2 linked regions of the Danio rerio genome follow. The protein of the gene in region 1 binds, or shares a complex with, the protein of each later gene. Links are inferred from orthologs where the notes say so. Each region holds a gene or a part of one and is shown on either strand. Other genes may lie near its edges.

The links.
Region 2: the proteins of ube2f (region 1) and dcun1d3 are in contact, whole or in part, in a crystal structure (PDB 4GBA), measured with the Homo sapiens proteins. The link is inferred for Danio rerio from reciprocal best matches to the Homo sapiens genes UBE2F and DCUN1D3. Residues at the interface, in NP_001265234.1 of Homo sapiens: Leu2, Thr3, Leu4, Lys7, Leu8; in NP_775746.1 of Homo sapiens: Glu108, Glu109, Glu112, Pro122, Thr123, Glu124, Met139, Cys140, Glu194, Ile204, Ala207, Leu208.

The regions. Positions count from the first base shown.
Region 1 is NC_133176.1:8,066,414-8,070,069, forward strand, and holds part of ube2f (NEDD8-conjugating enzyme UBE2F), read left to right. Parts: intron 1-107; coding exon 108-175; intron 176-1,889; coding exon 1,890-1,960; intron 1,961-2,065; coding exon 2,066-2,123; intron 2,124-3,656. UniProt on the Homo sapiens protein: Accepts the ubiquitin-like protein NEDD8 from the UBA3-NAE1 E1 complex and catalyzes its covalent attachment to other proteins. Together with the E3 ubiquitin ligase RNF7/RBX2, specifically neddylates cullin-5 (CUL5).
Region 2 is NC_133199.1:43,233,775-43,238,156, forward strand, and holds the start of dcun1d3 (DCN1-like protein 3), read left to right. Parts: upstream 1-1,448; 5' UTR 1,449-1,822; intron 1,823-4,382. UniProt on the Homo sapiens protein: Contributes to the neddylation of all cullins by transferring NEDD8 from N-terminally acetylated NEDD8-conjugating E2s enzyme to different cullin C-terminal domain-RBX complexes and may play a role in the cell cycle progression by regulating the SCF ubiquitin E3 ligase complex, after UV damage.

The DNA.
Region 1 (3,656 bases):
AATAATTCTATCCTTGTTTATGTCGTACATTGCTAGTATCTGTCAAATGCCTCAGATATTCTGCAAGTGAAAATATAACCTGACTTTGCCACTAAACCTCTCATCAGATGAAGGCTATTACCTTGGTGGAAAGTTTCAGTTTGAGATCGAAGTTCCTGAAGCCTATAATATGGTGGTAAGTGCCTGTGACATATCATGAAGTAATGAGGTAATGCCACACTTACTCACTGGCAGTGCTACGATGATTTTATTAGTCCATTTGTAAGCGGGGCCCTTAAGTAGATGTTTGCAGGCATTACTGATGCTCTGCAGTATCCCAATTCAATAAAATAGCTGCCTAAGTATTCCCACACAAATGCACACATACATAACAACACCCATCCTTGACCTTAAACAACCTGTAATAGCCATGTGTAGCACATGCAGAGATCCAGATATAAACCACCAACCTTAAGATTCAAGTTTAGATTCATTAATGAGATATTACTGAGGCGTAAGGCATTAGACCAGGCATTAAGCAAACATTGTAATGACTAGATGTTCATTCATTCATTTTCTTTTCAGCTTAGTCCCTTTATTAATCAGGGGTCGCCACAGCGAAATGAACCACCAACTTATCCAGCTTATGTTTAACACAGCGGATGCCCTTCAAGCTGCAACCTATCACGGGGAAACAGCCATACACTCTCATTCACACATACACTAGAAACAATTTAGCTTACCCAGTTCACCTGTACTGCATGTCTTTGGACTTTTGGGGGAAACCAGAGCACATGGAGAAAAGAAACCCATTAGAACACATGGAAAAAAGATTTTTGTTCTGTTTATTTTTTTGTTTTTACACAACAGAGCATAATCTGTGCATATGTCTTTTATGCTTTAGTCTTGTTCATTTTTGGACATAGCATTTACATTTAGCACAATGCTTCTCAACCATGTTCCTGGAGGACCACCAACACTGCATGTTTTGGATGTCACTGCATGTGTCTCCTTTGTCTGACATGCCCATTATAGGTCCTTTTTAGTCTTCTAATGAGCTGATGACCTGAATCAGGTGTGTTTGGTTTGGGAGACATGGAAAATGTGCAGAGCTGCTGGTCCTACAGGATCGTGGTTGAAAAACACTGCTTTAGTAGATGTTTTTGTCCAAAGTGACTTACAATTGAGGAGGCATTCAGTGATTCAACAAGAAGAGGCAATACACACAAGAAGAGCTAATGATACAAAGGATCTGTTTGTGCTCAGAGAATTAATTATATATATAAATATATATATATATATATATATATATTTATATATATAAATATATATATATATATATATATATATATATATATATATATATATATATATATAATTATATATATATATATATATATATATATATATATATATATATATATATATATATATATAATTATATTTATATATATATATATATATATATATATATATATATATAATTATATTTATATATATATATATATATATATATATATATATATATATATATATATATATATATATATATATATATATATATATATATATAGAGAGAGAGAGAGAGAGAGAGAGAGAGAGAGAGAGAGAGAGAGAGAGAGAGAGAGAGAGAGAGAGAGAGAGAGAGAATAATGTTTCTATAGGGGGTTTGTCAAGCCCACTCACCTGTGTTAAGCACACTTGGAAAATGCACATGGGTTTTTTAAGAGATATGGAGTGATTGTTTAAAAAAAAAACTGCAACTGTCAGTTAAAGTGTCAGAGAAATTAAAGATTGTGTTTTTTTACTGGTGGTTTGTCAAGCCCACTTACCCGTGTGAAGCACATTATGCAAAATACGTTCATTTATATTGCATTGAACTACAACAAATCATATTCTGCTTTTTACAGCCTCCCAAAGTGAAGTGCTTGACTAGAATATGGCACCCGAACATTGCAGAAACGGGCGAGATTTGTCTGAGGTGTGTATATCTATGATAGCCATGTCTTCAGATGTGTTTATGCAACAGACTCTACATTGTCCTTTTTACTGCTGTGTTTATGTTGTTGTTAAAATCTCTCCACAGTTTATTGCGAGAGCATTCAATTGATGGTACTGGATGGGCACCCACTCGTACTCTAAAGGTCTTTTTTTTTTTATGTCTTCTTGGGGAATTTATTTGTATGTTTGTTTTCTTTCTTTCTTTCTTTCTTTCTTTCTTTCTTTCTTTCTTTCAATAACTAAACATTTGGGTTTTAATAAGGAAGTATGATTCTGACACAGACGATCTCCATAAACTGGCATTTTTAAAATGTCATTTTACTGAGTGTTCTTTTGCGCTGGCACTCCAGGTCTGGTTTAGAACTTCCATGAATAAATAAGGCACTAATATCACCCCTAGGTGGAAGCAAGTCTGTTTTAATGAGGGATCGTTGTCATTCTTTCAAATGATCCATTTTGAACTGAAGCAACAGACTCTTATTGAGTGGATCATTGGACCATCAACTTAGGGTGCTTTCACACCTACACTTTTGTTTCGGAACGTATCTCGTTTGCCCAGTTAGCGCGGTTCGTTTGGCATATGTGAACAGGGCAATCGCGCTCTGTTCCGCGCCAAAGTAATCGCTCCGAAATCGCTTGAATGAGGTGGTCTCGGCTCGATTGAAACGAACCCTGGAGCGGTTCGATTGCAGTGAGAAAGCGATCCGATCCGAGCGCGGTTATATCACTCTGTTTTATGGATATGTAATAGGCATATACGGCTATATATGAAGAGAGAATTATGAGTAGGGCGGGAAGTTTCGCGAGTCTCCGGATGCCCGCAAACAAGTGATGATCTCCCGGTAATCTTGCGTCTCCCTCCCGGTCCCCAAATAGGCATCGTCGCGCACCCTTCTCACCCCTCCCCACCGCGTCTCTCTTCAGACACGTCGCGCGCACCCTGTCAATGACCACCAAACCACCACCTCTCCTGACAGCTGAGAGGGATGCTGCAAAATAAACCCTGACACTCTGACCAATGTAAGGAGAGTTTACTCGCACGTGACTTGTTTTAGCTCTTTTGGTCCGATTAGAAACTTTGCAGTGTGAAAGCGAACCGCTCCAAGAGCAAAGGGCAAGAACAACTGAATCGATTCACAAGTGTGAAAGCACCCTTAATCAAAACCATATTAATTTGCTCTAGAAGTTTTCTGCTTTAGCTTTGTTTGGAATTATTTTTGTTGCCAAAACAAAAACTAAAAATTGTCTTAAATGTGAGTTACTCGGTCCCACTTTATATTAAGTGTCCCTAACTACTATGTACTTACATTAAAAAATAAATATAAAGTACTTACTGTGTTTATAATGTATTTGAGAGCACTTGTGGTGCTTTTGAGTTGGGATAGAGGTTGGGTTATGGACAGGTTTGGGGGCATGGGTAGGTTTAAGGGTGGGTTAAGGTGTAAGGTATGGTTAACAGTGTATTTACAAATGTAATTACAAAAGTTAATTACAGATGTAATTACAGACATGTATTTAATCAAGCATAAGTACACAGTAAACACATGTATTTACACAATAAGTACATTGTAACAAATTATTATATCCTATGTAAGTACATATTAGTTAAGGCCACTTAATATAAAGTGGGACCAGTTACTCAATATGAATTCATGTTTGTTAAACTTGTGTCACTG
Region 2 (4,382 bases), on another chromosome or scaffold:
GTTTTAGTCTTTGACGATTTAAACAGCCCCCCAAACAGCGTATAAAATACTTAATACAACGATTGATCATCATGGCTGATTTCCTTCATAGGAGGCATGTCTGGGCATGCTGTACACACCCCAGTTCCAGTGTCTCCGCCCCCTTTTCAAATCAGGGCCAGAAAGTGAAATGCAGATAAAAAGAGAAGGGTATAAATGGAGGTCGGTGCCAGCTCCAAGTGGGTGGGCCTTAGAGCTCCAAGTGGGCTGTGCAAACCTTATTTAGTTGTATTTAGAGTTCAATATTGTGCTTTATGAATGTGTACACCTAACCCTAAACCCAACCTCACAGTAACCTGATGTGTTTTATTAAGATCTACTTCACCTACACCACTTAAACCCAACCTACTTGTGGTTTAAGTCCCTCCCACTTGGAGGTCACCCAACCTACTTGCGGGGTAATCCCTCCCACTTGGAGGTCTTCGGGCTACAGCAATACCTACTTGTTCATAGGAGGCATGTCTGGGCATGCTGTACACGCCCCAGTTCCAGTGTCTCCGCCCCCTTTTGAAATCAGGGCCAGAAAGTGAAATGCAGATAAAAATGTGAAGTGCAATTAAAAAAAAAACAGTATTGCAAACTCACGGTTGACTGAAAAGCAAATCAAAATGAGCATTGTACACATTGCAATTGACTTGAGAGGTTTTGTAAAGGCAATACTGGAAAACAAATATTTAGCAAATATATGTATAATTTATCCCAATTATAAAATGTTCTTTGCACTACTTGATTTTTATTTACAGTTCTTTATTCTTGTTTGCAAAATTCCTTTTTATTTCTCAAAACTCAATATAGCATTTTTTTTTGACATTTGCATTATTTTTCTATTTTATTTTTTGTTTGCAAAACTTTCCTTCATGTTGCAGGTATATATGACCCTAGATTGACTCCATATCTTTCCACTACTGCTGGCAGGTGTCAGAATGTTACTTTAACCATAACTATAGCTAATTATCATCATAATCATGTTCAAATCTTCATCTAGCATTAACTACAAAACAAAAACAGACACCAACAGTGACCTGAAGCGCGTGACAGGGTTTGCGTGACCTCTATAATAATGTTGGATACGCTGTCAATGAGCGATTTGCACTTATCGCATGAATATCTGGCAAGCATTATAATTAAACAGCCTTTTGTTTTCTACATAATAATTCTAGCTGAACTCTAAATGAGCGTTACCTATGTGCGTTCACATCAGCTTATGCGAGCATCTCCGCACTTCCGTACTCCGCCGTCCACGTGCTTGCAAATGATGACGTCCTCAAACTGCGGAGGTTTTTCGTTTCAAACCAGTCCGCGACGCTCCCGGTGTTGCGCAATCGCAAAAAATCTGCGAGGTGCTCGCGTCGCTCATCTCTGCGTATCTTTTGCGCAGACTCTGTCGGACCCAAACAAAAAGAGAAACTGCGATCAATCAGCGGCCGATCCGCGATTCTCTGGTTCCGTGTGGTCGTGTCGAGTTCATCGGGATCATCCGGATTCTTCAAACATTGATGTAGAGGAGTGCGGGATCTGGGGAAGGCGGAGGTTTAACGGGAGCCGGTCCGGATCAGCGCGGGTTCGGTTCGGGCACGGGGGTCTGGAGGACGTGAAGCTGTGAAAATGTCAACAATGATCATCTGATGAACCAAAAATCACCACAAGCACAAGAGACGAGCTTTCCCCTGCTTCAACGCAGATCCAGAACCGATCCGGTTCGGCTGAACGCTGGGATTAGCTTTAGCTTTAGCATGACAGCAGGGATGCGCTGACTCTGACCCGTTTCATCGTCTTTCCACAGGTAAATCAGCACAGAACACGCTCACTTCACACCTCCTGACATGTTCACGTCCAGAACGAACACGTTTGAGAGTTCAAATGAAGTTTAGTGCTTATAAATGAAGCGCACTCTCATCTGAAGCTAACCAGCTAATCTGCTAACATGAGATCAGCTCTTTAAAAGACTTTAACTGTCATGCGGAGCGTTGTTTCATTCACATACAGCCATGTATCAGAGCTGTCCGTATGATTACAGCGTGTTCAGGCTGGATATTTACTGTATTTCTTACAGTCGTAGACAGTTAATCATTATTTAGAGGAAAACTTTCTCATTTATCCTGACAGAGACTCTTGGCTGTGGCTCAAATCTATGAGCTGCTTACCTACACAGCTTTATGGGAATCAGATATCGCTTTGCATGCCTTTTAAAGGCTGCATATTTAAAATAAATACAGTCTATTTAGGATTTAGGTGTCATGGGCATTTGCTTATGGTGATCAACATGTTGCCTAGTGCCTAGGTAGACTGCAACTGTGTAAATATATCTATATGCTGTAACAAATAACAGATTGTGACAGGAATGGAGATTTAATATCAGAAAACTGACATTAAATACATTTTAAGTTATCCTCACTTACTAAGAAGTCCACGCTTTTAGTATGTTTTTTATTATTATTATTGGTTTACCAATGACTTTTGAGGTAATATAGTTATTAATTTTTTTTACTTGCCTTTTAAAAACATGACAATTTAGGCCAAACTCAATCCAAACATAATCTTGCACAAACTGACTGAGGCATGTCAGATATACAGTGAATCAAATATAAAGCCATACAATTACACAAACATACACATTTATAAAACAATTTATAACCTTTTATCAAATATCAAAATATATTGTACAATTTATAAAATATCATAACAAAAAAAGAACAACATGCTGCGCAGACATCAAACAGAAACTCTGCAAAGGGTTAAATAGAAGCATATTCTTGAAACAAATCATACAGTTGTATATAGCCTTCTCACACTTCATTATTTTTAAAGCTTCTGCGTATGTGGCAGACTCCTTTTTAAACGCAGTCAATTGAGGAGCTGCTTTCAAAATTTAGCATTTATGAATGAAGTTTTTAAGTAAACTAGTAAACAATTTCCTCTTTGCTGTCCAAATTTACTCCAAATTTTACAATGTTCTAACAAATAGAAGGAAACATTGAAATTTATTGTTTTATCGAATTGTCCACATCAGACCAGAAAGAACTAACCAAATTACAATGAAGAAATAGATGGTCAACCGTTTCAAGATCACAGTTGCAGAATTGGCAAACATTACAAGGTACTATAGTCTAGGACAGGGGTTCCCAAACTTTTCAGCCCGCGACCCCCAAAATAACAATGTCAGTGACTCATGACCCCCATTTTTCAAGGTGGTTACACTGTAAATATATAAACCTTGTAGACACAACTATAGGCATGTATAAACATGAGCACATTGACAACACATAAATGCAACAGTCTATTAACCGTATATATTTTTTATATTCATTTATTAATTTATAATATAAAACGTAAAGGCTGATGACTTTGATTTTTATTTGTTTATAATAGATAATAATAATATAATAATAATTTTGTTTTTGTTTATTTGTATGTTGTTGTTTATTTAACACAACTATTATCTTCTGTGGGTTATGAGTAAAATATGGTCATTCAAATAGTTTAATAAAACTTATTTGACTTTGGAAATCACCAAGCGACCCCTTGTCATTGTTATGCGACCCCCCAGCGGGTCCCGACCCCCACTTTGAGAACCACTGGTCTAGGATTGGGTTTTACAAACTGAGATCTGTTTTTTCTTCTTTATTATTATTATTTATTTATTTTATTTATTTATTTTTTTGTGAAAAACCTACTTTATTAAACGAAAATGTTTACATTAAATAAAAAAAGTGTAAGTAAATTAATATTACTTTACTATAAGTAAAACAACAGCATACTATTATAAGGCAAATCCTATACACAGTTTAAATTGGATGTTTGTTTTTAAGAAACTTCATAGATGTCTTTTATCGGAAAGCTAATTTTACCAGCAAGTCCTGTTATAAACACACCACATATTAAAAAGTAAGTTGCATTGTGATGATTACATTAAGATGTTTTTAAACGTACAAAACTGTTAGCGCTGAGATCAAAAATAATCGAATTTTTATCAAAAATAAATCTTTTAGATTTGTATTTTATGTATCATTACATTTTTTAAATGTATTTTTATTGTTATAAACCTTTTTGGTTGTAGGAAAGTGATCTTAAAATTAAAAAATGTTTATAAATTGTATCTGTTTTTGCCATGAAAAAGCCAAACAAACTCTCTCGGATGTTGCTAAAAGGGATACAGCTGTGGCCAGAAGTTAACAAGAATAATTTGTTATTTATTAAATAACCTATTAATTGTATTTTATTATTGTATACCCCAACCCTAAACCCAACTCTCACTGTAGTGTAAAAACAATCGTTTTACAGAGTGTTATTCATATTATATATTAAATTACTTATTAAATTGTATTTTATTAACTTCTACCCCT